Linked DNA regions of Drosophila melanogaster. Changing the gene in region 3 together with the main gene of any one other region gives a genetic interaction. Each region holds a gene or a part of one and is shown on either strand. Other genes may lie near its edges. The genes, in order: Fmr1, Vang, dco and per.

Region 1 (5,727 bases), about 21 Mb from region 3:
GGATATTTCATACTCTCGGGCACGCTGCAACAATGCGTGTGCGAATGAGGTATAATTAATTAATCATGCTGCACTTGTTATTTATTCTTAGCATAAAGGTCTGCGGACAGGTGTTTGCATATTCTCTGGCGACAGCTGCTCCGCTGGCAGTGTGCCAACAGCCAACTAGCAACAGCAACAACCAATGTGGGGGTTTTCACAGTGAACCCACGTCCATACCCATGCTCCCATTGGCAAAAACCCATTCCTAATCCCGCCCAGAAACGCAGATCGGAAACGACACACCGTCCGACAGGATAGTGGCGCAACTAAATTTAGATCCAGCTGCTCAGCTCAAGTGGATTTCGGTGTGTCAGAAGAGATGGAAGGCAACAAAAAAAAAAGTTTTGATCCAAAAACGTCACAAGAAATGCAGCAAGCACACAAAACAGAAACAAAACACGGACATAAAACGGCAGCAATTAAAAAACGCTTAATGACCGTTGTGTTCTCTTTTGATTTTTCTATAAAAACTCATAGAAATATATTAATTAATTTTTGGATCAAACTATGGTGTTGCAGAGCATTTCAGAGTAACTTTAGGTATTTTAAAAATAGACAATAAGAACTAAATTTAAACTTTAAGACACCAAATTGTTATGCTACGTGAATAAATCAAAGTTCTCATTTCAGATACTCGGTAAATTATGAAAATTTATGAAAATAAGGTACATTTTAGTTACAAGACGTTCGGCTAGAGCGTCATAACCGAATTCAAAATGAGTAATTATAAATGGTTTCTTTCCGCGGTTAAAAATAGTCGCGCCTTTGACGCTGGCCGCCGTTTCAGCGCCGCTGCTTAGTGGCATTTGTCGTTCGCACTTGACAGCTTTGGCAGAGATGGAAGCCATCCCCTGCTCCCGCTTCTTGGGAAGATTGCCTCTGGGAATCGAGGGGAATCGGGGAACTTCCCAAGTCAGTGGGGCGGACAGTTGCGGATGGCGTTGGTCAGTCTGTCAGTCAGCAGTTTTATTTGATTTGGCTCATTTTTTTTTTCTTTTTTATCAACTAATAGCAACAGAAACTGCTGCAGCGGCGTCTGGCGTTTAACAAATTGCGCCAAATTAGTGAGTCCGCAGTAGGGGATTCGGCGGGAAGTGGTTTGGCGGATGGCGGACGACACAAATGATGCGTGCCCAGAATCTCTAATTTCTAATTCGGATGCCAAGAAGTCGCGTCGGTGGTTGTTGCTGCTCCTGCTGCAGCTCTGATTGTATTAATCGTTGCAAATTAGTTAGAAAATACGCTCTAGTTGTTGTTGTTTGCCCTGTTCGCAGATTTGTTTGTTTAAACAAACTTACCCGTCCACATCCACAAAGATGCCATCATCGGCGACAGCTGTCACCTGGCCCTGTTGTTGTTGTTGTCGTCGTCGTCGTAGTTTTTAGTTTGCAGTTGTAGTTTTTTGTTGGCGGCAGGCAGGCAGCAAACGGATGAAATACAAGAGCATTGACAGGGCCAGCATCGGAAGGCATAGGAGTAGAGAGAGAAAAATGTGTGTCATTAATGTGGCCATTGCCTATGATATACCTCCATTCGGATGTGTGTATATGCATAAGTATATAAAATATATTTTTACGATAGTCCCCCCAATCCCGTCCCATTGTGAAATCGAGAATTGCAATGGCATTAGCGAGGGAAACCGTATATCTCCGATAAGCGAGTAGTCGTAGAACCTTATCCGAAATGCAAACAGCCGACAGCTGAATCATCAGCATCAGGGAAGTCGCTCTAGTCGAGTGTGTTTATGTGCATTGCCCTTGTTTTGATTCCAAGCACTGAAATCAAAGGCAACGCTATGCAAAGTATTCACTACCTTACTATACATATCCAGAAGGTTTCCAGAATAGGTTAGCTAATGATGGGGATAAGTACTAAGAACAATAATTGAAAGTATAAGAATATTCTTAAGTGCACTGTTATCTGGTTTCCAAAATGTCTATATTATCATTGGAAAATTTAAGCCTATAAGCATACATTTTTGCTGAATTTGTTTAAACAGTGAACAATAAAACACATCAAAAGCTAGCATTATGAATGGGATTTAAGACTGAACTTCGTTCATAAGACTAATGATTCGAGATCTAACAACCTCGTATACCTGTAATCTATCCGCGAAAATCACTTAACCGCGATATAAGATGGTTTAATCGGATCTTATCTTTATAAATTGCAACGACAAGAAAGGGAAATCATCAAAACAACAAAACCGAATGCACGACGACGTCAGTGGGCAGCGCAGTGGGCGGCGCGGTCCGCGTCGACATCGACATCGACGTCGACGTCGGCACCCCCACAACGCAGTGTGCGTGAGTGCGTTGGTGTATGCAGATTGGCGATGGTGCTGGTATTAGTGTAGTAGTGGTAGTGGTAGTGGTGGTGGTGGTGGCGATGATGTCGAGACTCCACTCAAAATGTTGCTGTTTATTAATAGAAATAAAGCTAAAATCCACGAAATTAGAAACTGAGGCAGCTGCTGCCCCAACTCCTTGCTCCTCTGTTTTTCCTTCTTTTTTTTTGTCACCCCCTTACCAACATTTTTATTCCACCAATTGAATCAACTCACCTTGTAGTAGGCGCCATTGTCGAGCCGAACTTCCACGAGGAGATCTTCCATATCGCCAGACGTAGTGCCTCCTGGTTTATCCGCTTTGTTTTGGTTCTGGTTCTGGTGGTTCTTCGCCGTCCGTCCCTGTCCCTCCTGCTGCTGATGCTGATGCTGCCCAGCCTTCAACTCCCGACTTTTCCCCGTCGACTGCAGTTTGCCGCGTTATCTGGGGCTCCTGAGGGGGAAGAATGGAGATATTAGGGCTATAGATATAGCTAGGTATGGGTGGGTATGCTCACAATTCAGTGTGCAGTGGCAGAAACCTCGCGTTCCTGCTTCTAGTTCCTTGTACTCAAATCAGTCTTTTGCTTGGCGGCTGCTGCTTCAAATGTTGCCTGTAATCAATAATAATATGGAATGGTTTTGTTTTTGGTATTTTTGAATTTTTGTATCTGGAGAGGGAGACTATATATTGACACACTAATAAAAAAAATAGTTGAAGAAAATTTTGAAGTTATTTTGGGGGCCAGATAATTCCTAGCTAAACACTAAATGCAGCTGGCGGCGAAGCCGGCAGCGACGTCGGCTTTGCCGGCAGCGCAGCAGCGCAGTGCTTCCTCTTCTTCTTTGTCTCTCTCCCTTTGTGTGTGTGAGCCCGCCGCCTCACACACACATGACCACCACCAAGCGTGTGCGCTCTCGCTCTCTTTTTCTCTCTCTCTCGCCGCCGAAATGCTTCGTTCGTTCGTTCACACCGATGAACACGCTTTTCCAATAAGAATTTGTACGCACACTACGAACGGCACATGCCGAATTTACATATCGAATTTACACATAATTTCCACACTTGCTTTCGATTTTCGCTTTTCTCAAAGAGAAGAAACATCAGCGTTGCGTAGCCGCTCGCCGTTTTTCTCGTTCTCGTTCTCTACTTTTCTTTTTGTATTTTATCGGTTTTCCTCTTTCAGCTGCTCCCTTTTGCTGCCGCTGCCGGCAGAGAGGCGGCGTCGCTGCTGTCGTCGACGTCGCAGCCGCCGACGATGTGCAAAATTTTTTGGTTTTTTTCGGTTCTTGCAAAATTTTTTCAACACTTTTTGCGGCTGTAATACACAAGAGACTGCAAATTTTTGAAAACTTACTGCTGGCCGGCACTTTTGCACTTCGTTTGCCCTCGGCGGATGCCTGTGAATGCGGCTTTAACCTTTGAAAATACAAAATATATCGCGTGCAGTGCTGCTTCAATTTTTTTCGGCTGCGCTGCGTTCTCTTCGTTTTGCTTTTGCACACTTTCGCAGCTCGGCAACGTTCTACTGGAGTTGCCACCCGTTTACAATCGGCGCGCGTTACTGGCCACTTCGGATGGTTTTGGCTAGATTTCGGGCGTGTTTGGCCCAAGCGATAAATTTGTGAAAATAAGATACGAAATTTTTGATAAATGATTTGTGCTCTATAACACAGGGCTTGTTTGAAAGCGAGAGAAAAATGATCTGACAGTAAAGTGGCAAGGCTGCTAAGTGACAGCTCACCGGGCCTTGCCAGAGTGACTATAAGTTGTGGGTTCACAATAAACAGGGTTGTATTTTAAGCGCGCTAGGCGGTTACGATTCGAAATTCAAAAAGCTGATAAGATCATTTAAAATTTAAATGAAGTCGACGAACCGAACACTATTGACTGCTCACTTAGTTTGCTGTCTGCTAACAACGTAATTGAATTGCTAGCCCATCAGCAGATTGATTCGCATGTTTGGTGGCTTTTCAATTGATTCGATTCGATTTTAATTTGCAGAACTGCTGACCACTACGCCTTAATGTTAATGTAATTGTCTATGTAATTGCAACGACTGCTGGGGTCAACAGTGGGCGCAATTTGCCACATGCGGTGTTTTATTTGCCCCTTTGATTGCCCCCAAATCGCGTGACGTCGCTGGCGCTTTTTGTCAACACGCTTGTTGAATTTGCTTTTTACTATTTTTTTTTTCTTATTTTGCCCTTCCATTCATGAAACGCATTTGATTATGAGTGGCCGATAAAGGTGCAGTGCGGTCTATTTGTAATCCAATTTCCATCAATTTTCAGCGGATCGGACAGCAGAAATCTGACGGAGTACTCCATTTAGGATGAAACCACATATTTGCTTGGAACTACTTAATAAGATTTATGAATTATATTTGTGAACTTTACTCTTGATTAATAAGTGGGCAAGTCTAAAAGCTCGCCTGTATTTAAATCGCATGCCATTTAGGCATTTGTGTGGTGAAAATGGGCCAACAAATTATAAAAATTCATGGCCAGTCAGTTAATGGGAACCATTAAATCCTTTATATGCCTGTGAATAGTTGGAAATTCTGTGTCTCTGTGCAAAGGCAATACCCTCTACTCGCCATTTTCGCATTTCCCAGCCTATTTGCAGGCAGATTCCGTTAAAATCCCATAACAATTTTCCATACAGGGTATCAAGATTCGCAATTCGATAGTCATAAATTACCGCTCGTGTTGACGGTAATTACTGTCAAGCGGCGATTTGTTGCGGAAATGCAGTTTCTGATTTGATTTTCCCGCGCCCTTGCCCACCAGTTAACCACCCCTATTTCAACCGCTTTTCCACTGCCGAGGAAAATGAGAGCAGCTGCCGTTTGACATTGACTTTTGTTCTACCTTTTGGCACATTAACTGCACTTTAATGACGTCGACATGGCCAACAAAAGAGCGAAAGTTCAGCGACGACAGCCCCTCCTCCTCTCGCATCTAGCCATCTCGCTCGCACCCCAGAATTTGTCCCGCTCAATTAGCATTATGTTCGTTTCGCGATCGGATTTGAAACGATTCGGTTCGGGTGCAATTGCAGTGCAACAATTGGTCACTTCGGGCACTAAATTAATTTAAATTCTAATTTTAACCGCGTGGAGGGATCAAGTGAAATTTATTTGCCAAAATGTGACAATCTCGATCGTGACAGGTACGTCACTTCCTCTCGACGTAAAATACACTGCGAGGAATATTCGGGCAAGTAAATTTTTCAATAATAAATAAGATAATACATTCCTTATAAAAGGTGTTCACTGCATTTGTAATTATAGTAACATAAAGAATTCGCGCATAAGTGTGAATATTAATAGAAATAAAATTCAATAAGTTTAGTC
Region 2 (6,743 bases), on a different chromosome or scaffold from region 3:
GCAGGCGGGAAAAACTGTGTTGTTTGCCTTCGAAGAGGCGATCGGCTTCATGGTCGGCACCACCGTACTTGACAAGGATGGTGTCAGCGCGGCTGGCCATTTGGCCACTATGGCGTGCTATCTTCGGTGCAAGCTGTGCATGACACTGCAGGAGAAACTGCGCGACATCTACGAAACATATGGGTTCCACACGACTGTCAGCTCCTATGTCATATGCCGTTGCCCGCCGGTCATCGAGCAGATCTTTGAGCGCTTGCGCACCTGGGACGAGGGCAAGGCAGACACCTATCCGACCAGCATCCTTAACGGCGAGTACGAGATTGAAAACGTTCGCGATTTAACCACGGGATTCGACAGTAGCACTGGCGACAAGAAGGCCACCTTGCCGACCAGCTCCAGTTCCCAAATGATCACATTTACCTTCAAAAACGGACTCGTGGTCACTCTACGCACCAGCGGCACGGAGCCCAAGATGAAGTACTACGCCGAAATGTGTGGCAAGCCGGACGAGAAAAACTGGGCCAAGCTGACTAATACAATGAATACCATGGTGGAGGCCATTGTCGAGGAATTCTACGAGCCAAGCAAGAACGGCCTCCAGCGCAGGAAGGAATAATCCGAATGCACCTTTAAGCGGATACGCTAGGCGACTGGGACGAAAGATCTAACACGTAGACCTGTCTAAAATTGAAAGTTCTATACCAACAGCACTGACGACGCACAAGCCAAAAAACAACAGCAGCGCAAGCTGTTGCCTATTATTGTTTAAAGGATATCTGATATGTTAGTATTCCACTCACATTTGGCTAGTATTTATGAAATAATGTAAATAAAAGCGAACGCACCATCCACCACCAGGCACCAAATCATGGGTTTCCTCAGTTTGATATTTAAGTAGCTTATGAAATGAGACCATCGTGCTCACTCCACTTGAATTAATTGAGCTTATTACTCTTATCATAGAAATTCGAGAGGCATTCGAGTCTTTGTATCACAAAGAACTTGAAACTTGATTGATTGCGATTAAATCTACTCATACATTATACTTCAGTGCGATTTGGTAAACCTGCTGGGCTCAATAATCAATATAGGAACTGTTTGTTAATCCCGAGCTGATAAGGCAACTTTCAGACATTCAAAAGACCCCCAAGAATGAATTAATTACGTGCGCATTTCCACGATTTGCGTCACCTTCGAGATAGAACAATTCGTTTAAAGCTGTTAAAGAAGTGGGTTTGATTTATTTACGCATTTTGTTTTTTATGCTAGTTACAATTACAACAGTTACAGTTTGAGAGTAAATGTATGTATAAATGGTATGTATGCTTAGGTTGGTTTTCCAATTGCTTTAAGTAATTGCTAGATAATTGCAATATAAAAGAGCTTCGACAGAAGACATTTAGCTAGAAAACGAAAATGAAATCAAACCTCAAGCAAACGTTTCTAAGTAGTTTTGTAAATAGGTATATATCATATATGTATGTATATATAGATTGGGTTCACTGGAACGTACACATGTTCGAATACGAATTCGGGTCCTTATCACTATAATTTTGTCTCTAAAAATACACGAGTTTTTGTATATATGTGGTTGCTATGCACAGGCTAGTACATACACCTGCTAGTGGCTGTTGGCAATTTGTGTGTATAAAATGCATATTCAGGCAGTCTTCGCTTATATTATGTATTTGTCATCAGTTGCATTCGAGTTATAGTTGTTTCGTCGTTTCTCAACTTTGTGGCAGAAGAGTTAGGACCATTCGGTTTCGGCTTAAAATGTGCGTATGTAAAATCTTATTAAGTCGCGTCAAAAGTGGCCAATGCACTTTCGACGCAAGTCCGAGTCCTAGCTAAAATTCCATGGGCTTGCCTTGGCTCACTCCATTCCTTCTTAAGGCTAGCGATCGGGCTCACGCCTCACAGATATCGGGTAAAATTTTAGATATTCCGCGAAGAGTAAGCCCAACTTTACACTAAACATATTTACTAAAATAAAAATCGTGTATAAAAGAGCTGCATTTAAGAGTTGATATCTGAAGATCGCGGTTCGGCAAGCCAAACCATCATTCTTATAATTAATACTTTGGGAACTTGTAAGTCATGTTTGCTTATCAAAGGGTGTGATATGTTCGCGTCGGTTTAGGATGATACACTGGGCTTTTGAGCATTGTTTCTTGATATTCGGGTCATAAGTTCAAGTTTAGCACTGATAAGTACGTTGCCTTCTCATCTAATAATCATTTGTTACAAGATCAAAATTTAGCTGCTGAGGCCTGCCTAGACATTTTGTTCTCACAACAACTTTTCCTTTCTAAACTTCCATGTTTTTTTCTTTTTTTTTTTAAATTCAGGGTTTTGATCGATTTAAAAATGCTCCTCTTGTTCATTGATAAGTAATTTTGATTGCTTGGTTTGATTGGTTGTGGTGTTTCAGGCATATATAAAAATGAATTCAATTACCCTGATGGCAGTTCTCACAAGAACGTCATCGATTTGGCTGAAGTAAAGAAAATATGTGAATATGTGAATTAGTAGCTGGGAAAATCAGACAAACACATGCAAGTAGGACGATTGCGTCTGGTTGCTATGAGTGGGAGTGTTGATTGGAGGGGCGTTGTGGTGGTGTCATACGGATGTTTCGGAGTTCAACTTAAGAACAAATTTGTTGCTTTTGGGATCCACAACCTCCTCGGCCAGGTTGAAGTGCGGCAGCTTGTGTACGGTTACCATTAGGGAGACATCGTTCTGAATTAACTGGAACGTGCATTCGTTGCCAATTGGCCGAGAGACGATCTCGTCGCAGATCAGGGACCAAGACTGCACCCAGCGTCGCTCCTTCTCGCTCTGCATCACCGGAGACTCGGTCAAGTAGGGTTCCAAGAAGGCGCGGGGCGACAGATCATGCTTTAGGCAGTGCGCCAGATGTTTCAGTATGCTCTCAAAGGTATGCCGCGGCTGCTGACGCGTAACCCGTAAGTATTTTTGCAGCGCCCTGGCCATCGAGGGAAAAACCGCCGAGGCAGCCTCCTGCGGATCGAGCGGCAGTGCCGGAGCCGGTTCGTTATGAATGCGTTTGATGTGGGTGAAGGCCTCCTCGGCGGCGGTTATAAGACGGGCACGCCGTTTCTTCACACGACGTTCGTACTCGTGCTCTTCGTAAAAGCGCTCGTTATGCGAGGAGTCTCGGCGCCGCGCGTTGGCTGCTAGAACTGCTCGACTCTGGCTTTGCTGTTGCGAATTGCTCACCCCATCCACTTCGTAGTACTTGAAACTGTTTGATATCTTGTTTCGCTGCGATTTGGAGACCGATATTGGGATGCGCTCCAGGTAAGGGTTAAATATGGGGAAATCCACGTAGTAGTGCTGTAGCACCCACACAGCCGCCCGTTGGATGCTCAGCTGACCCAACATGTAGGAGCGCGAAACGCCGTCCGGGGAGCGAATGATCTTGATGTAGTAGCAAGGCTGCTGGTGTCGCAGCTCTAGTAACACCACGGCCACATAGTGAATAAATAGAAGAGTGTCCACAAAATTGGTGGCATAGCCTACCAGTGACTTGTAGTCCACGGCATCGCCGCCCGTCTCCACAACGATTTTGGCCCCGTTTGTGACCTGCACGATGTAGAAGAGCCAGTAAGCAAACGTGCAGATGGTGACGAGAAGGAGGACGAGAGCGCGATATAGGAATATCCGTGGCATGGTGGCCGATGTACGTCGCATGAACACTGCCCACAGGCCGATGGCCAGAAGCAGCAGCCGGGCGGCCAGCGATACCAGTTGGCCCTTGCACTGCTCACTGCAGGCCAGCAGCTGGGTGCGAACAGTTTGCGTTATTTCCGGATGATCGAAGGCCGACGGAAAGAAGCCCACATACGGCATCACCACCATTGCCACTGGCGAAAAAAACGCTCCGCATCCCAGCAGGAAGTAGAAGCTCGACTCCACGTATCGGCGGCACGCAAAGCTGAAGCCCTTGTCGCTCTCACGATGCCACATGTTGTTTATGTCCTCCATTGAGATGCTTTGCTCCGAGGTATTCCCCGTGACGGCGGTAGTATTCTCGCCCCAGTTCTCGTCCTGCGGAAGGATTTGCACCTCGATGACTTCCTGGCCATCGTGGCTGCCGTCTCCTGGTGCCCAAATAATAAATGGGTCAATTGGTTTCCTTCCACCGATAGAGCCATTAAACAAACTCACCTGTCATATTAACGCTGGTCTGGTACGGTGCCATGTCGCCACGTTGAAATCCCTTGGCCGACTTCGAGGAGTGTGTGCTGCGGTGGGAATGTCTGGAGCGGTCCCGCTCCCTGTGATAGCCGTTGTTGACACTGCCTCCTCCGCCACCACCTCCGCCGCCACCCCCTCCGCCGTTGTTGTTGTGATTCCGCGAGCGTCTGGAGCGTCCACTGTGTTCCGACTTGACGGATTCGTTTTCCATTGCAATTGGGCTAGCGCGCGAGAGCTATGCCCGATTCCGAATCTCCTGCTCGCGAAGAGACGTGCCCCAAATCACCTTGCAACCTGGCCGTGCAGCTATTTTAGTGTCTAACTGTAATTGCGGCGGCAGCAGGTTTTTCATACGCAGGTATGCAGGGCGCAGTGCATAGCCTATAGGCGATTTAGAGCTTTATCTGCGGCTAATTCTGCGGCACATTGTCACTATTCGTGTCTTGCATGGCTATTTCATACGCTATTTAACTATTTCTCGCACATTTTTCGCTTTTTATTCACTTTTTCGTGGACTTGGCTTCACCCCCGACGCAGTGTGACCACCGCAACACAATCAGCAGCACGGTCACATTGCATTTAGTGTTTTCAAACACTATCAGTTTGGCAATTCAACCGCCAAACTGATAGTTTAAATTTTAAAGTAAGTTTATTTTGTTGGACAATATCATGAATTTGCAATAATAGCGGAAAGTAATTGTCTGGCTCTCTGGTCAGTTGGGCTTAGCAGTATGGCGCGCTGCAACAACTTCATAGAACAGGTTTTGTCTACTGCACTAACCGCCTGACTGGCATATATAGTGGTCAGTGCCTCTTCGCTGGCCAAGATGCTAAATATAAACAAATTCAGTCTATCATAATACAATGTATATAAATTCCCAAGTCTTACCTATTTTGTTGCTTAGTGTGTCCCAGAGTAAGAGTTATTCGACCCATATTTGAAGTAGCCAGTCGATAGGATTGGTCATCAGAGAAATAATCAAGAAGAAACTTTAGCACGACACTTCGCAGACTTCGGGAATTGGGAAACATTCGTATGCGAGTCTGTAGATAGCACAACGCTCTTCGGGCACCCTCCTAAACAAAATCATAGTATTACTTTTGTAGAACCACAACATTCACCACTTTTAACGAACATTTATCAGGATGTAGTGAGCCGTTAAATAGGATATGTCGGCACAATACTCCTTCTTAAAGGCGTACGCATTCAGCTCCGTCAGTATCGTATGGATCAACGCATTATCTCTATGAAGTATACCTAGGGCAAGGGCTGAAAACAACGCCTGAATGGGGACCTCCTTCAACAAGACACTTTTGGTGATTATAACGTTAGAAATGTTGAATCAACAAAACAAATATTGCGCTACCAACCACTGATAGAGTAGGGTTTTGGTGTCCGCTTCGCCCTGAAAGTCGTAAATCATGGATGCCATAGCCACGAGGATGGTAGCTGCTTTGTCATCGCCATGATCAACCACGTTGCCGAGAACGGAGTTGTAAATAGAGTAGGATTCCTGCAACTGACCGGCTAGATAATATGCCTGGGCCAGGCCAATGATCGGCTTAAATGTGGCATGTGCAACCGTGTTTAGGGCGTGTGCCGCCTGCTCCGGCTGGTCTATTTTTAAGTACAGGTATCCCAGATTCGTGTAGAGCTTGTCACGATCCGCTCCAGGTTCGCACAACTTACACGCCCGAGTGAAGGCTTCGATTGCTTGGCGATACAGGTTTTTCCGGGCGTAGAGAAATCCCTGGAACGACAGCGATGCTGGTGTCGCATCCGTCTCCTCGTTTTGCACATACCTTAAATGTATTGCAAGTCTTTAGTTGGTTTTAGATAGGGCATTACTATAATACTTACCAATTGATGGCATCCAGCGCAAGCACATCAGCGTACATGTGTTCGATGGCATGCTTTATGCGCGGCTTGTCGAAAGATCCAGGAGTCGACAGCATTTCGCACACCCAATGCGCAAATCCAAGCGCCGCCTCCGGATGGTAATCGAACTGCTGGCAGTGACGAAACAGATCAAAGGCTTCCTCGCGATCGCCAATCAACTCCGCAACCATTGCTTGTCCAATCCAAGCGTTGGCGTACACGGGACTTGATTGCTGGGCTCTCGTAAAGGCCTCGTTGGCCAATCGGACTTCATTCAGTTTAATATAGAGAACTCCGAGATTGGTCCACGCTGTGTAGCACTTTTTTTCCAGCACTACAGCCTGAATAAAACAGTGCTGTGCCAATGGCAAGTTCTCATTTTCGGAGTTCATATTGATAACTCCGAGAAGATTCCAATTTTGCCATCTGTTGCTACACTCCTTAATGGCCATTTTGCACGCCTTAGTCGCCGTCTCTAAGTGGCCGTTTGCATCCTCGGGTATGAGAATGGCACTGTAGTAGCTGGCTAACGATAGCTCGTACCACAGGTACGTATTCTGCTTCAGTTTTAAGGCGCACAAGTAGAAGCGCTGAGCTAGCTGTAGAAGATCCTTGCGTGAAAGATATGCAATGGGTT
Region 3 (8,753 bases):
CTGCTTTTATTCTGTTCACACATACATATTCCATGTTCGGTTTAATTCGAAATACTTGCTAATTACATAAATGTGGCCTTATCGTGCACTTATCGATACATCCGTCGAATTCCGATCCAACGTACTTTTGAAATGTTTCATGAACCGCTTCGATTTCGATTTCGATTTCGTTTGTGGTTATTTTGTATTCCATATCACTGGTGGTTTATTTTTAATGATTTTCTCTCATATCGCCCATGATACACTCGAACTCGATCCAATTAGTATAATTAGTTATTAGTTCAAAATTCTATTCTCAATATACATATACAGTTAATTATACAAAACCTTCGAAATTACTATGTTCTCAATTTGTTAGTTTCTCTATTTCGCTTATGCTGAATGGACTGCTCGCTCATACAAGATCATTTAGTTCTCCATTTCTAGTGGCTCATAATCGCTATGAATCAGTTTGTCGGGCTTCGATTTCGTTTCTTTTCTATCAATAAAATGCTAATGGTTTAGGTTTAGTACTCTGTATGCTAGGAGGAAAATCACACATATGTATATATTTTAATTTTATACTTTTGGGGTTCGGATATTATTCTTATGTACACTCATCACTAGGTTCTCAATTCTCGGTTTGGGGAGGAGGATTGGGGCTTCTCCACGGTCGCGGATCCCCTAATCTGAATGCGCTATATGGTCGTGTTTACAAGGTTGGTCGTTTGCAAGGCGTGCGCTTCGAATGGAGTTGTGTTCGAAAAATAAAAGTAAAATGACTGAAACAAACCGATTAGAAAACAAAACAATTTGTAAGAAATATCACGTAATGTACTTTTATTTAAGTTTTAGTGGCTTCTGCGTTCAGTGATCCGATTTGTGTTTTGCATTTCTTTGATTTGTTAGTTCTTAGCCAGCCGATCGCTGTGGGGTTTACATGTTTACGTGTTCTCATAAGATATAGTTTATATTAATGTATATTCATATTTTTACCCATTCATTATCTCTTGGCGCATTTAGAATTTAAGTTTTTTTTTTGCATTTTCCTTTTTTATTTTACGGTTTGGTATTACTTATAAACAAATTTCATATTATAGCTATAGTTTATTAGCTAGCGTTGTGTAACTTTCCTCCGCAGGGCCATTACTTACATTGTTAAATCGAAACGTTAATGCAATTGTTTTGTTGTGTATGTCTAACGCAATTTATATGCTCTCTATCTTAGTTACATGATTTTGTTGCGTAAACAAAGGGCTGCCCCAACTCCCAGCTCCCACATCTCGCATCCCATTTGCCCACCGCTCGGGAAATGCGCGCTTAAGTGTTTAAAAATCGGAAAGATATATATGAACACAGGCAGCAAAGTGCAGACCACGAAAGTATATATATATATATATATATATATATATATATATATATATATATATATATATATATATATATATAAATATATATATATAGATAGGGGAGTAGGCGGTACAGAAGGTTACATAATATAACATAGGAGGGCCTTATAAGTCAGAGCGTTGCTTAAAGCTAGAGAACTGCACGTGGTAATCGCAATCATTTTACCATCAACTTAGGTTACAATGTGGGTGCCTTGCTGTGTGGCATATGCTTTTGTATGGATTGGATTCGCTAGAGCTAGAGCCTATAGTCTAGGGTTAGGGACACTCGCTGAACGCGGTGTCCTTTGTTTCTTTTACACAAATATTACACTTACAATCGAGTTATTATGTGTTCATGATCGGTTCTGCATGTTCTGCCTGATTTGGTCTGGGACTTCAAGTTAACAAAGAAAAAGTTGAGCCGGCCAAGAGCAAATAGTCAAATGCAAAACAGAATTAAATGCCTGCGTGTCCTGCTAACCCTCCTCCCAAACCCTTCCGCGGACCCCTAATCAACCGCCGATCTATTGGCCAATCTTCAGGCAGGGATCTCAAATCAATTGAACAGTGCGGTTTGTTGCAGTTTCTTGCAGCCAGGTTGCAATCGTTTATGTTCTAATAGTATAAATTAAATTAATCATAGGCTAGTTAATTAATAATAAGCGCGCTCAACGTTCTAACATCTGGGAGCAGAAACCAAAATGTCAAAAAACAAACGAAAATGTACACACAAAAAAAGAAAAGCGCTGCGCTTTGCTATGCTCTGCTCTTCTTCTCTCACTGCTCTTGTCCTCCGTTTCTGGCAGGGACCTGGTCATCCTGCCGCTTGGATACATTCAACGTGTTTTACCGCATATATAAAGCAAGTATTATATATATTAGGTATATATAACTATATATACTACATGTATAGTTTGTTGAGTTCTGTTGTTGTTTGTCTACTGTGTCGTGTCCAGCGTCGCAACCTAAACGATAAAATATTATTTGGCGTTCCCCACGCCACCGCCCCCTCCGCCGCTCGGCATACCGCCTACGCCCACTCCACCGCCGCCACCACCGCCTCCCTGCCGCATCCGTATCGAAGGCCGACGCTCCGGCGTGTCGTACGGCGGTCTCGACGAGTTGGTGGCCGCCATCGAGTCGTCCATGTTGAGTCCGTTGCCGCCGATCAGTTGGCTGCCGTTACCGCCTCCATTGCCGCCCAGCATCGCCAGCGTTTGGCCGCCCTGGAGTTGCTGTTGCGCTGCACTGCCTCCTCCGCCACCCAGCGCCGCATTGACCTTGTGCTGCTGTTGTTGATGCGAGGAGGCGGCTGCCGCTGCTGCCACCGCCGCTGCTGCGGCCACCGCATCATGACCCGCCTGGCCGTCCGCTCCGTCCTGCGCCTGCTGAATCGCCTGGGGATTGCGAGGTCCGCCAAACTTAAGCAGGTTCCAGTCAAACACATAGTCGTAAGTGAAGCCCAAACGGTGGAACAAGTTGCGGAAGAGTTTGCGCAGGTGGCAGTAATCGGGACGCTGGTCGAAATGCATCTGGCGACAGAAGTTCAGATAGTTGACGAACTCGCTGGGGAAGCCCTTGCACAGCACCACAATCGAGGTGGACAGCTTCTTCTCCGAGATCCTCTCGTACTTTTGCCTCTTGTTGGCTGCCTTTAAGCCCTGCCAGGGCAAGGCGCCCAGATTGAAGTACATTAGGACGTAGCCCAGGGACTCCAGGTCGTCACGACGCGATTGCTCAATGCCCAAATGTGTGTTGATGGAGGCATAGCGGGCAGTGCCCGTGAGGTTCTTGTTTTCCCGATAGGGAATGTGCTTCAGCGACCGGGCATCGCGGAATTTCTTGGCCAGGCCAAAGTCAATGATGTACACCAGGTTGCCCTTTTTGCCAAGACCCATGAGGAAGTTATCCGGCTTGATGTCGCGATGGATGAAGTCCCGCGAGTGTATGTAATCGATGCGGGAGATCATCTGGTCCGCCAGCAGCAGAACCGTCTTCAACGAAAAGCGGCGTGAACAAAAGTTGAAGAGGTCCTCCAGCGAGGGTCCGAGTAGCTCCATCACCATCACATTGTAGTCGCCCTCGCTGCCGCACCAGATTATGCGGGGTATGCCTATGCCACCCTGCATCGTCTTGTAGAACTTTGACTCGATGTGCAGCTGGGGGTGTTTGGTGCGGATGCACTCCAGCTTGATGGCCACCTCCTCGCCAGTGTTGATCGTGGTGCCCAGGTAGATGTCGCCGAACGATCCCGATCCTATCTTGCGGCCCAGGCGATATTTGTTACCCACGCGCAGCTCCATTTTGTTACGTCTGTTTCTGTGGGTTTCTGTGTGGTAGAGTTCGGACTCCTCGGGTTCCTCGGATTTGCGTTGCCTTTCTGCGGGACCGGAGAATTGAAATTTAGTTTTAATTTTACAACACATTGCCTCGAAAAGAAGGCTGTACGCTTTTCTTACTCATAATACTACACGCTACACGAATTGATCGATCCCAGTTCAGATTAGCTGCGCTTAAAATATTATACAGATTTAAATATCTACGCCAAGGACTAAAACTTTTACTTTGTAATCGCGAAAGGATATTGAAAGGTTGCTACGATGCAGGCAAATTGTTGAATTCGATCAGAATGTAAATATTCGTAGTATTCTTAGTTGCTTTGACTAATCATAGAAATAGCAGCGGCGTCACAGGTTTTTACGAGTAAATATGAATCAAGTGACTTCGAAAATTCGGCTATTGACCACTAGCAACAATGTGTGATATTATTAGAAGAGATTATTTGCAAGCAACAACACAATATCGAACGCCTTGTTAGCGATAGTGATAAAATATTCGTCGGATTTTGTTTGCTACAACTTTTGATTCTTCTGACACTATATTGTGACACGTGATGACAACCCTGCTGTTTTGTACAGTTTGCTAAAAGTCTAATTTTGAGAGCTAACGGAGCTTCGTGAGTATTTTCCAACACTTCTCCACTTTTCTCACCTGGCACTGTCCTTTCGTCTGAGCTCCTTTCTTCTTCTTGTTCCGATTTGTTCAAGGCAGTCGCTTATGGCTTTGTATTCGAAGGGTTCTGTAATAGGAGGTACTAAGTTAATTTTTTTTTAGATCCTCAACATGGTTAATCGAAATTCGACCCGTCTCGCGATCACTTATATATAGAGAGTAATCCCCTGTTTTTATCGCATCTGCAGCGTAAGCCCGAAAAACGTGCAGAATTCGCTTTTGTTTGTGGTGATAAGGATTGTGGCACACAGACATGAAAACAACGCACGGCAACAATCGATATCGAAAATAGAAAACCGTTAGCTAAGAATAAAACAAGAGAGAGAGAGCGGGAGAGAAGTAAGCTTGGCTTACGTTGACAACACAAAAATAGCAGAGAAAAGCGTACCAAAAGCAATTCGAAATGCAAATGCACAGTGGGCAAAAATGATAAGAACCCGAACCTCGCACAAAGTAAAAGTTTATCTCGTATATTTATATTTAAGAGTGAGTGCGTCATTGCATTCGGCTGTGTGTATTGATTACGAATGGGGAAAACAACAGATTTAATAAGTGATGAGTAACGATAATTTATATGCACAGAGCAAAATAGCACTACTTTTTGACATTCGTCACATTATTGTTTTAGTCATTTTAATATTATATTGTACTATTATAAAATAAAGCAAATGTGCCGTAGTGCTTTTACATCCTTGAATAGATATAATTCTTTTTTTCAAGTGTATTTTTTACGTGACGACACCAGAAACATGGAGGTGAATCAGCAATCAGGAAAAGACAACGAAGAGATTAACAACAAATAGATAAAAGAGACGTGTGTTTGTGTATGCGTGGAGTAAACAATCGGCGACAAAAGGGAGAGAAGTAAAATAAAACGCAGCGACTGTGAAAATGCCACTTAAATGACACTTTCAGTGGTGGAAAGCACAAACAAATAGCGAAGATAAAGCGCATGGAAGTCAGAAAACGAAGCAACAAGCCGAAAGTTTTCACTTGCCGGTCAAATATCACAAAAATTTAGTTTAATTGTTTTCGGCGGCTCTCACTCACTAACCCCTTCCCACTCCTCTTTCCCACATTCTGTGCGCTTTCTTTTACCGCTCACGCATTTCGATCGCTCTCTCTCTTTCTCTCTCTCTCTCTCTCCTCCTTTTCCCGACTCTTTATCACTCACTCTGCGGTTCTAACCTCAAAACCTGCCTGTGTTTGTTGTTGTTTTCGCCTTGGCTTTGATTTATTTAACCGAAATGTACCGTTTTTTATTTGTATCTCCCATGTTCTACACAGAAAGAAATCACTGTATAAGCACTGTAAGTCAAATTGAAATGTGGTATTAATTTTAGGAGCTTTAATTTGTTTACTGGAAGGCTAGCAGGGAAAACGCGGTCTTTCCTATTGGTAACTAAATATTTCCCAGGGTATCCAGCAGTTGTTTCGGACCAGCGGGTAAACACGAATTGATTACAATTGCAAAACAGCTGCACGTTGCGTTGGCGGCTGCCGAAAAGCTTCCGCAAAAAAACGCACTGGAGAACAAAGAAGATACAAAAAACAGTTGTTCCAGCAGGCGCCACAAAAGTAAAAAGCTTAAGTAAACAGGGAAGAGCAAATGGAAAAACCAAAAACCAGAGCAAAACCAACGGGGAAACCTCAGAAGGGGAAGGAAACTTGCAATTAATTGTCAAACGCTAATGGCCTCCGAAAACTAACGGCACTCCACGAATGCACTGCGAATAACGGGGCTGATAAGGAGCAGCCGATAGCGGGTGGAGAAGGGAAACTTGAACGCACAGTGGAACAAATTCCGCACTTACCGTGGCTTGTTTTTCTTATATTCCTTGTTTCCTATTCCGCTTTGCCCACTTCCTCTGCTGGCGACGCTGCTTTTCCTTCTTCTAATTCGACTGAAATCGAAATCGAATTTTTTAATTGGATTGATTCTGCCACAATAATTTTCATTTTCTTTGTTTTAGAGCCCAGACGTTGTTTTTGTTGTAGTTGCCACAGTCGCACACAAACACACGCACACAGTCGCACTTTTTGGGGCCACACGCAAGCGCATTTTATGCAATAATTTTAATAATACTGCATTGCTGCCATATTTCAGTTATTTTTATCGTTTATCTTCGAGTCGGTTATGCTGTTCTTCTCTGATTTTATGGCCACATTGATTAGCATCTTGTTGCCAATCAACTCGAGAAAATTAAACGAAACCAAACGGAACTCGGACTCTTATTAAAAAAACCAAACTTATGCGAGTCGTTTGCCCTGGCAATAGATTCGTGCACACTAGTCGTCCCGCCCGCACTCGCACGGTTTCTACCGCGAGCACGTTGCTATCCCTCCTGCTTCAGCATTTTCACACCAACACAAAGACGAGGGCACTCACTCACACACTCGCACTCTCAATGAGCACTGAAATGCTGTTGGGAAATTCGAGTTTTCCTGCGCGTGGTAACCGCCGCTTTTTCGCTCGCAAACGGGTCTGTCGATCCGAAACGCTACTGACCACTTACGTTTTGCATCAACGCTGCGCTTTCGTTTCAATTTTTCTGGCTATTTCACATAGATTTCGACGATTTTTTACAAATTTACGCCATCTTGATATTCGCAGTGTGACCGCGCCGATAATGAAGAAAATTACCATCTGGTATTTACTCCTCAGCGAATGTCTAGAAGATATGTAATTGTGAAAAACTGTGATTCATATACTAAGTTAAGATAGTCCAAAGTTGGTTTCGAAGTACCACATTAAGAAAATAGCGCAAGAGTATTGGAAAATCAAAAGAAAAACGAAATTATATCCTTGCAGCTAGCCATAAGTTCAAAGTTCGAGTAACTGGAAAGCTGTGAAATAGCCAAGTTGACAACGCTGTTTTTGTTATATGGGCACACTAGTTCTTACATAGACCCAGTGCTGCCAGATGGACGAAAAATATTTTTGAGCTGCGCCACCTAGCGGATGAGTTGGCGAAAGTGGTATCCAGGTGGCGCCCGAAACAAAAGGTGGCGCCTTATTTCAGAAATGCAATTGAAAATATCTAAAGTTATTGAAAGTTTTTGAATTATGCATTCAAAGGCCCATCTGCTTAATTTTATTTTCAAAGAGAATACAATAAACAATACAAAAAAAAAAAAATCATTCTGAAATGATATTTATACTAATATACAAATTTGATAACTCAATAATATGTAAATAAAATTTATGTCTTAATTTGCAATGTTCTTAAGAAAAGTTGTTAACTCTTTTTACAGGCTTGTGCTCCAAATTCTCGTGTAAATAGAAATTGAAAATGGATTTCATTGGCATGTCTTGCAGTTATAGGTAGCATGCCAATTTTGATGTTACACAGATGTATCGAAATACCTGAAACGTATACTTTTATTGCAGCAATACGAATAAAGCAAAACACGTGTGAATTCCATTAGTCCGCCCAACCGCTTTCCCCATTTACCCTCACATCGTGCATTTTCCGGCTGTGTAACCCAAGAAACGATGACATAAAAAAAGGAAGCAGATCCAGTTATGTATGCATATATGAGAAAATGTGTTTTTTTTTTTTTGGGAGTATGTGCCAAGGTGTGTTTCTTTTTAAGTGGGGGTAGGGTAGATAAGCAATCACTCGAAAATGATAACAAAAAAAGGGGTGAAAAGAGTGTAACGATTCGATATTGGGGCTGGCAATTTAAAATGAAATATAGACAAAATAAATCACATTAATTGCACTTGCCTACGATTTTAATTTTCCATTGCTGTATTTATATACATTAGCCAGAATGCATTTTTTTTATGCAACTATAGAAATCTCCATTTTCAATTTATTGGTGAATCGTTCAAGATCTTCGTAAAAACCCGCCTTTGTCTCCCATTGGCTGGGAAAAAGAGAAAACAAAGCAATCCAACGAGGCAATTGAAGATACAACAAGTAAAACGAGAAAACAACTCGTTTAACCGCTCACACACACACACTAATTCAAAGCATATCTTTCCCACTCACACACGCAAAGACGTGCGATCGCCGACGAATGAAAATCGTCGTTATTTCGACCGATGGTCAACTACCAACAAATAAATAACGAAAAAAGTAAACCAAATATGTAGGTGCGAAGCAATAAAAACCGAGCGAGACGCGTGTATGTAAATGATCCATTCAAAGAACACTGTAAAAAAGTATGCCACATTATTGGGATACTAAGACAATTTATTTCCTAATTTTGTTGTATTTTTTTTTAACACGCAATATAAACTTGTTTTTGATATTATTCTTTAAATAAAAATACGAATCAGACGACAGACTTAGCTGCCTCTGGTACTGGTTTTGAATAATATTTGAAAAACTTTAATCACTCATTTTTTTGCAGTGCCCTTTT
Region 4 (9,000 bases), on a different chromosome or scaffold from region 3:
TTGCTTGGTGTGATGCTTTTTCAAATCGAGAGCGACAGCAAAAACAGAAGCCCACTAGATATGCATTTAACTAAAGTAATAACTAATGTACATATAATTTTTTATAGATTTTATCATACTACCTAATAACCGTTGCATGTCTGCTACCTTGTTTTCCCCCTCGAAGCAGATGTTAATCCCAACTTGGGATTAAGGTTCTTCAAAAGTTTCGCGAAAGGCGTTGAAATTTCAACGCCTTCGTCGTCCTACAACGGGCCATCTCCGATTTTTTCACGCCTTAAACTGTGATTTTTTCTAATTAATTAACGCAGAATTTGTTGGTGGACTAGGGAAGAGTTAGCGGACTTGGGAGTACGCAATGCGCAGACTCCGAAGGGCGGAGTTAAGTGCTAAGTCAGAGGAATTTGGGGTTGGTGCGGCCCGGGCATTTACTTGGCCGGGAATATTCCGGGCACAGCGACGTTACTTCAGTTCAGCGGGGCAGCTGAATTCTAATGTGGACATTTTGAGGATAGCGAGACCATTCAGTGCAATCTGTAGGTGCTCCAAGGCCAAGGACTTCGTTTAAAGGTCTGCTTCAAGTCCACCTGATCTGAGCCCCGTATCTGTTATATTCCTTCATAAGTTGCCAACCGAGCAGCTCTAAACGAGACTTCCCAAGGAAACCTAGTTTGGAGAATATGACACTATATTTCTGATATTAATTTAAACTGTTCATTACATTGATATAATTTTTTTACAGACATCTATCTCATCAGAAAGTAGTCAAGTGCTGAAGTAATTTCACTTGAGCTTGTATCTCCGTTTGTGCTTACAGTTCAACGCTGGGACGGAATTGTGGTGCCAGTAATGCCACCTGATGTGCTACGTCCATCCTCTAATCGCAATCCATATTCATGGGTCCACAGGTCCTCGGACCTACGCCACTTGGACGTTGAAAGGGTGGGCCTTGGGAACTCGGCTCTAATCCCGCTCACAGTCCGACCGACACTCACCCGAAATCACCACCCGGAATCCGATTAGCGGCAATCAAATGAAATCACAGCACATCAAAACGCGACGGGGAGTGGCGAAGTGCGGCAAGTCAACAGTCGCAGCATCAAAATCAAATTAGCAGCAGTTTGGTGGCTAATTCGAACGCACTTTATCATTTTCGGGCAGGCGTCTGTGACTTTGTGGCACGTGTGTGGCCGCGATAGATAAGAGCGAGCCCCAGCAAATGCCAGCAAACTCCGGCTAGCTTGGGCAAACACCACACACGTGGCCACAAAGGAGCTGCGTGTGGAGTGGGTGCCGGGTCAAATGGATTTTCACACCCACTCGACGTCGGCAAAGCCGCCAATTAATAGAATTCAATTATTCAAAGCCACCGCAGGCCGATGGGACGGCTGATAAGGCATAAAGACATCCTTGGGCACTTCGATCGGATTAGGATAATAAAAAATGCTCCGAAAAAAAAAGAAGTTGTGGGGTCCATAAAAATATGCTTTTATGAGGGGGTAGCTAAAATCATTTCCTATTTATCAGATGCCTCAACTTTTAACCCTTCAATTGCGAAGACTAAAAGCCAAATTCAATGCACAGAAATTGCAAGTAATAATCATTTGTAACTGCATAGCAGTAGTATCAGCATCGAACCGAACCACTCGACCGCTCGGAGTTCATCAACCCCTCGTGGAAAGACGGGGAATCCCCTGCTGGCAGGTATGTGTAACGCCACCTGTGGGCCACAGCGCGCAACAGCCAGCTGGGCGGAGGCGGAAAAGCCAGGGAAAATCAGCTGTCGCTATCATCCCACTCCGTACGTGTTTCAGCGCACGCCGCGCACACCTGCCCAGGTAGAGCTTCCACGGGACAAACGGGAAACAGAAGCCCCCAAAAGCTTGGCGCCACTTTCAACTTTTCATCCGTGCTAGAGAGCCGAGCTGCTAGACCGATGCACTGCGTTGACTGCGGACTGGCGCTCTGGTGCACTGCTGGCCGCACTTGGACGATGACCAGGTGGGTGGGTGAGTAATGCCGTTGCGAAATGCCAGTGCCAGTGCGAGTTCGCACAATTCATGGTGGGGCAGGGACGGGTCCGAGTGCAAAAAGCGTCCGAGAAAGCCGTAGGCAGTGAAAAGCCGCCGCTCACGTGGCGAACTGCGTGACTTGGCCAGCAAATCCGCCGCCCAGCCGGCTCCCCGGAAAACACCCCTCGGAAAACGTGCTGCCAGCCGCCCACCAGGCAGCCCCAAAAAGGCAGGGGATTCCATAGCTTTCCTTAACCTGCAGTTGGTGCGTGGGGCTTGGATTGACACTTGGCATCGGCAGTGCCATGTAACGTATCCCACAGCATAGATAAAAACCAAAAGAAACTAGTATTCAATAGAAGCTATGAAAAAGAAAGATATCCAACATTATAGCAATCTATAAATGGGGTTTCTTGCTATGGAAAAGGGAGTCTTTGGCATTCCAATTACTTGCTTTTGTTGTTCGCGCAAAAGCTTCGCCCAAGGGTTAATGTTTGGGTCCGAGTATCTCAGCCGACCAGCGATTTCCCGAGCGACTGCGATTCCCAGCGATTCTCAGCGACGGCGGAGAGCAGCGAGTGAGTGTGAGAAAATTCTGGGAATGCGAGTGCACGGGGGCTTATACACCGGAGCTTGCGATGCGAGCACTAGTGTTCGTGCGAATTTAGAGCCAGAAGGTCGACAACGCGTTCGTCGCACAGTAGAAAGTATTGCCATATACCAAATAAATCGCAACAACGACCTGTCGAATCACGCAAACAAACAGCTTCGTTTTTTTTTTTTTAATTTCGACCAGAAACAAACCGTTATTCTTTGGTGCCAGTGTTAGTGTCAAGTGTATCGAGCTGAGTGACATATAGCCACAGCCAAAAAGTGAGACCATAAGTGAGATTCCAAACAGAAGGCAGCAGCAGCCTAATCGCAGCCTAATCGCAAAAAAGTGCAGCTGGGTGAGAGCGAGAGCGAGTGTGTAAGTGCAATTGTCACGTTGTTGCAATAAAGCTGCAAAGAAAAATCTCAGCAAGAGGCGCTAGATAGACCATTATCATATTGCCAATACAAAACAACGCATTGGGCAGGCAGCTTACATAAATAACTCGGTTCATAACGTCCAATGGCGCACTTACACATATGTACATATAGTGTTTATTAATAAGTGCACGTTGCACACCGAGCAAAGCGTAAACAAAAGCCCACATCAAAATACCTGACCCTACCGAACAATGCTCCGGGAATGCCCCACCACTTCCTTCCTTGCAGTGCCAAACAAACATACTCTGGCCGCAGAATACGCATACGCAACGTGGTGCACCACTGCAGCCGCTTGCCTTCCGGTCACCTGGAGTGCAGTACTGCAGCACACTGCGCCTACGTGAAGTGAACTCATTCATATATGTAGCTACATAGCTCTAATCGATGCCCGGCATCCAATCTGGGTCAGAGCATATTGCGCATACGCAGCGTGTTCCCTTTTGGGCATTGCACCTTGGTATTTTCAGCTTATTTGCTGCACACACGCCACGTGGGCGCAGTAATTTCTGGCAAATTTGGAATGTCTATTAAAACCCCTACGATTTGGATAGCCGCAGTCGCAGTCGCGTTACACAAGCTAAACAGAGTACCACCATTAATAGCTCAACGTTCCCATTCGTGCCCCGAATTTTCCCACAGTCTTTCCCAGTATGTCTTGCCCCCGGGTTATGCGACTGTTATCCATGTCTGTCGCGCTTCCTGTGCTGCATTATCTAACATCCTCGGAATGACGCACGACCAATGTAATCCAGCAATCCAGAGGCATCGCGGCGGATTCGATTCGACCAGTTGGCCTTCTTGCTTTGCTGCGTCAAAGTTCACCCACATATGGGATGCGAACTGGGTTAACCAGCGAGTTACACAATCCTTGGTGGGTATAAACTGAAGGATTTGGGCAGATTGAGCAGTCGGTTGGAAGCCAGTTTGTTGGGCAAAAAAATGGTATTATCCAATGGAATTTTTCACCTTCTTTGGAATTCTTTCTTCTTGAATTCTGGGCCGTCGAAACAACTATCAGCTTGTTTACTTGGCCCATTTGGTTATCTTTGCTTTTAATGGAAACTCTGAAGAGCCTGGAATGGGGTCCACCCTAATGCCTGTGTGTCTGTGTAGTATTTTTGGGTTTAGTTGATTCAGCCAAATCGGAGAGAATGAACCTGGGTCTTATGCAATCGCTGAAACCGAACTCCTTGCCGAATTGAATGCTTGCTATATGCACCGATTACGACATAGTGGTGCATTGTGAGAAATATGAGTTCTTCGCTGCGTTCTTTTTTTGTAATTGCAAAATTGCTGAAAAGAATGTGTCTTCTACTGAGGTACAGGGTACATGGTTCTGAACTACACACTACACGTATCTAAGTATCTAAGTACGTATCTGCGAATCTGGAGCCGGGATGCATTGCGACTGCATAACGACATCCGTTGGCGGAGCGGCAGAGGCAACGCGAGAGCAAAAGCACATCGCACTGCACGTGAATGCAGCGTCGCGCCGTCTCGCTCTCGCTCCCGCTGCGCTGTTAATTAGCACAGTGAAGCCTCGTTGCAGGCAACCACCGTGTGGGCGACATTGTTCTCTATCTATCGTTCTGAGTCTGGGCCGGGCAGAGAGTATACGATTCAATCAATGGCCACCATGCAGGTGCAAGTCAAGGTGACAATTTCACAACAATGCTCCAGCCAATTAGGACTAGAAGTTATCCAAGCCATGATTCATGAACATGAATGGCAGGCAGTCGGAACACGTGCAACGCCTGGTTTCCCCCCCATCATCCATTCGCTTGGCCTAGAAGATCCTAGAAAGCGTTGGTGGTTAGCTGGGCGGCACAATACTATTGGCGAGCAACGTGAAGACGGTAACGAAGCAACATTCGGAATTTGAATTGGATTCTAGAGAATCGGGGGGGTTTGCGCGTCGCAGCCCGGTGCCGCAACAGATTTCGTGATTCATTTCATCACCCGGCCGAAGTGAAACTACTCACAACGCAATCGACTCACGTTGATGCAACAGCGCTGCTCTGAATGAATCCGGTGCAAATAGAATCCGCATTGTAGTGGTTGGTCATTCATTCAACGGATACTCAGTAGTCACGGAATCTCCTCGAAGGAAGGACAAACATAGATACATAGGTTCATCATAGAAGTGAAATCAGTTAGTTAGTTATTTAGTTACCCCCATTCAAGGTCCTATCAAGGATAACTGAAGTGCTAATGGTCATCATACGATTTTCCAGAATCTCGCACTAGTCAACCAACTGGGCAAGCTGGAGAACCTAAGCACCATGGAGGGCGGCGAGTCCACGGAGTCCACACACAACACCAAGGTGTCCGACTCGGCCTACTCGAACAGCTGCAGCAACAGCCAGTCGCAGCGCAGGTGAGTCCATTTGATGTGCTCAATCATGCGAGTAGTCTAAACGATCCATCCCCTTTCCAGTGGCAGCTCCAAATCCCGCCTGAGCGGCAGCCACTCCTCCGGCAGCAGTGGCTATGGGGGCAAGCCCTCGACGCAGGCCAGCAGCAGCGACATGATCATCAAGCGCAACAAGGATAAGTCGCGCAAGAAGAAGAAGAACAAGGGCGCCGGCCAGGGGGCGGGGCAGGCGCAGACCCTGATCTCGGCGTCGACGAGCCTAGAGGGCAGGGACGAGGAGAAGCCGCGGCCCAGCGGCACTGGGTGCGTAGAACAGCAGATCTGCCGAGAGCTGCAGGATCAACAGCACGGCGAGGATCACAGCGAGCCGCAGGCCATAGAGCAGCTGCAGCAGGAGGAGGAGGAGGATCAGTCCGGCTCCGAGTCGGAGGCGGACCGAGTCGAGGGCGTGGCCAAGTCGGAGGCGGCACAGAGCTTTCCGATTCCCTCGCCGCTATCCGTCACCATTGTCCCGCCCTCGATGGGCGGCTGCGGCGGAGTGGGCCACGCAGCCGGTCTGGACAGCGGGCTGGCCAAGTTCGACAAGACCTGGGAGGCAGGTCCGGGCAAGCTGGAGTCCATGACCGGGGTGGGCGCAGCGGCGGCGGGCACAGGGCAGCGCGGGGAGCGGGTGAAGGAGGACAGCTTCTGCTGCGTCATCTCCATGCACGACGGCATCGTCCTGTACACGACGCCCAGCATCACCGATGTCCTGGGCTACCCGCGCGACATGTGGCTGGGCAGGTCCTTCATCGATTTTGTGCACCTTAAGGACCGCGCCACCTTCGCCAGTCAGATCACCACGGGCATACCCATTGCGGAATCCAGGGGCAGCGTGCCCAAGGACGCCAAGAGCACCTTCTGCGTGATGCTGCGTCGCTACCGGGGACTCAAGTCCGGCGGATTCGGCGTCATCGGCAGGCCCGTCAGCTACGAACCCTTCCGCCTGGGGCTCACCTTCAGGGAGGCTCCGGAGGAGGCGCGACCGGACAACTACATGGTCTCCAATGGCACCAACATGCTGCTCGTCATCTGCGCCACTCCGATCAAGAGCAGCTACAAGGGTGAGTATCTGTGCCCGTTTTGGTTTCATCCAGCCATCTAACCATCGATCTCTGCCCCCCCCAGTTCCCGACGAGATTCTCTCACAGAAGAGCCCCAAGTTCGCCATACGCCACACGGCCACCGGGATCATATCGCACGTGGACAGCGCGGCGGTCAGTGCACTGGGCTATCTGCCGCAGGACCTGATTGGCCGCAGCATCATGGACTTCTACCACCACGAGGACCTCTCAGTCATGAAGGAGACCTACGAGACGGTAATGAAGAAGGGTCAGACGGCGGGCGCCTCCTTCTGCAGCAAGCCATACCGCTTCCTCATCCAGAACGGTTGCTACGTCCTTCTGGAGACCGAATGGACCAGCTTCGTCAATCCATGGTCCCGCAAGCTGGAATTTGTCGTCGGACACCATCGCGTCTTTCAGGGTGAGTTCGCGTGCCGACCCAGTGATCCAATGATCCTCTAAACAGGTCATTTCACCTTCCAGGACCCAAGCAGTGCAACGTCTTCGAGGCGGCGCCCACATGTAAGCTGAAGATATCGGAGGAGGCACAGAGCCGGAACACGCGAATCAAGGAGGATATCGTGAAGCGCCTGGCGGAGACGGTGTCCCGTCCGTCGGACACGGTCAAGCAGGAGGTTTCCCGCCGCTGCCAGGCGCTGGCCAGCTTCATGGAAACGCTCATGGACGAGGTGTCCCGGGCGGATCTCAAGCTGGAGCTGCCGCACGAGAACGAGTTGACCGTCTCGGAGCGGGACAGCGTGATGCTCGGCGAGATTTCGCCGCACCACGACTACTATGACAGTAAGAGTTCCACCGAGACGCCGCCCAGCTACAACCAGCTAAACTATAACGAGAACCTGCTGCGTTTTTTCAACAGCAAGCCGGTCACGGCGCCGGCGGAGCTCGATCCGCCCAAAACGGAGCCGCCGGAGCCGCGCGGCACGTGTGTCAGTGGCGCCAGTGGTCCGATGAGTCCCGTCCACGAGGGCAGCGGGGGCAGTGGCTCCTCGGGCAACTTCACCACCGCCAGTAACATACACATGAGCAGTGTGACAAATACGAGCATTGCCGGCACTGGTGGCACGGGCACTGGTACAGGTACAGGTACTGGAACTGGAACTGGAACCGGGACAGGAACTGGAACCGGGACAGGAACTGGAACGGGAACAGGTACAGGCACAGGCACAGGCACTGGAACAGGCAATGGAACAAATTCCGGCACCGGAACCGGCACCGCCAGCTCATCCAAAGGCGGAAGCGCCGCCATACCGCCAGTCACGCTGACCGAATCCCTGCTCAATAAGCACAACGACGAGATGGAGAAGTTCATGCTGAAGAAGCACCGCGAGTCGCGCGGACGGACGGGTGAGAAGAGCAAGAAGTCCGCCAATGACACCCTTAAGATGCTGGAGTACAGCGGTCCAGGCCACGGGATAAAAAGAGGAGGCTCCCATTCCTGGGAGGGAGAGGCCAACAAGCCCAAGCAGCAGCTAACCCTGGGAACAGATGCGATCAAGGGAGCGGCAGGAAGTGCGGGCGGAGCAGTCGGCACTGGCGGTGTGGGATCAGGAGGAGCCGGTGTGGCGGGCGGAGGAGGATCCGGAACAGGCGTAGCAGGCACACCAGAAGGCAGAGCCACAACGACCTCGGGAACGGGGACACCAGGTGGAGCCGGAGGCGGAGGCGGAGCAGGAGCGGCAGCAGCGGCTGGAGCGTCCTCCTCCGTGGGCAGTTCCACGCCAGGACCCTCGTCCTATCCCACCTGCACGCAAAACATAAACCTCTGGCCACCGTTCTCGGTGGGCATCACACCGCCCGTTCACTCCACGCACACGGCCATGGCCCAGAGCAGCTTCTCCTCCGCCGGCCTCTTCCCGACCTTCTACTACATCCCCGCCTCCTTGACGCCCACCAGTCCCACGCGCTCTCCCCGGATGCACAAGCATCCGCACAAGGGTGGCACGGACATGCCCACCACCTCGCAGCAGGCGGCTGCCGCGGCCGCCCAGGCCATGCCGCTGCAGTACATGGCCGGCGTGATGTACCCGCATCCTTCGCTTTTCTACACACACCCGGCGGCGGCCGCGGCCACGGCCATGATGTACCAGCCGATGCCCTTTCCGGGAATGGCCAACGCTCTCCAGATTCCCGAACGTCCGTTGGGCTCCCAATCCGCGTACAACAAGTCGGTGTACACGGTAAGTCAGTGGCCGGTGGTGCCTCACCGAACTGTCTTAACTCCAACTCCAACTCCATACTCGTCCATAGACCACGCCGGCGTCCATGACGAAGAAGGTGCCGGGTGCATTCCACTCGGTCACCACTCCTGCCCAGGTGCAGCGTCCCTCCTCGCAGAGCGCATCCGTCAAGACGGAGCCGGGCTCCAGTGCAGCGGTATCCGATCCCTGCAAGAAGGAGGTGCCGGACTCCTCGCCCATTCCCTCCGTGATGGGCGACTACAACTCCGACCCGCCCTGCA

Evidence for each region.
Region 1: of dco (region 3) and Fmr1, changing one suppresses a phenotype caused by changing the other (phenotypic suppression), as found in Drosophila melanogaster (one study listed by BioGRID).
Region 2: of dco (region 3) and Vang, changing one enhances a phenotype caused by changing the other (phenotypic enhancement), as found in Drosophila melanogaster (one study listed by BioGRID).
Region 4: of dco (region 3) and per, changing one suppresses a phenotype caused by changing the other (phenotypic suppression), as found in Drosophila melanogaster (3 studies listed by BioGRID).

What each region holds. Positions count from the first base shown.
Region 1 is NT_033777.3:10,106,090-10,111,816, forward strand, and holds the start of Fmr1 (fragile X messenger ribonucleoprotein 1), read right to left. Parts: upstream 4,033-5,727; 5' UTR 3,727-4,032; intron 3,520-3,726; exon of another isoform or gene 3,435-3,519; intron 3,135-3,434; exon of another isoform or gene 2,983-3,134; 5' UTR 2,887-2,982; intron 2,823-2,886; 5' UTR 2,801-2,822; coding exon 2,606-2,800; intron 2,254-2,605; exon of another isoform or gene 2,141-2,253; intron 1,391-2,140; coding exon 1,341-1,390; intron 25-1,340; coding exon 1-24. UniProt on the Drosophila melanogaster protein: Polyribosome-associated RNA-binding protein that plays a role in neuronal development and synaptic plasticity through the regulation of protein synthesis of mRNAs.
Region 2 is NT_033778.4:9,101,271-9,108,013, reverse strand, and holds Vang (Van gogh), read right to left. Parts: upstream 4,777-6,743; 5' UTR 4,439-4,776; coding exon 4,198-4,438; intron 4,131-4,197; coding exon 2,626-4,130; coding exon of another isoform or gene 2,545-2,625; 3' UTR 1,218-2,544; downstream 1-1,217. Other genes in the region: Pgm2a (phosphoglucomutase 2a), read left to right, coding at 1-616; CG8777 (uncharacterized protein), read right to left, coding at 4,895-5,057, 5,117-5,304, 5,364-5,538, 5,599-6,030, 6,089-6,743.
Region 3 is NT_033777.3:31,054,179-31,062,931, forward strand, and holds the start of dco (discs overgrown), read right to left. Parts: upstream 7,033-8,753; 5' UTR 6,899-7,032; exon of another isoform or gene 6,287-6,898; 5' UTR 6,197-6,286; intron 4,465-6,196; exon of another isoform or gene 4,450-4,464; 5' UTR 4,362-4,449; intron 3,751-4,361; 5' UTR 3,674-3,750; coding exon 2,351-3,673; 3' UTR 1-2,350. UniProt on the Drosophila melanogaster protein: Serine/threonine-protein kinase which is involved in the circadian rhythm pathway, viability and planar cell polarity.
Region 4 is NC_004354.4:2,682,919-2,691,918, forward strand, and holds the start of per (period), read left to right. Parts: upstream 1-2,661; 5' UTR 2,662-2,982; intron 2,983-5,278; 5' UTR 5,279-5,326; coding exon 5,327-5,421; intron 5,422-5,481; coding exon 5,482-6,521; intron 6,522-6,585; coding exon 6,586-6,942; intron 6,943-7,004; coding exon 7,005-8,719; intron 8,720-8,789; coding exon 8,790-9,000. UniProt on the Drosophila melanogaster protein: Essential for biological clock functions. Determines the period length of circadian and ultradian rhythms; an increase in PER dosage leads to shortened circadian rhythms and a decrease leads to lengthened circadian rhythms.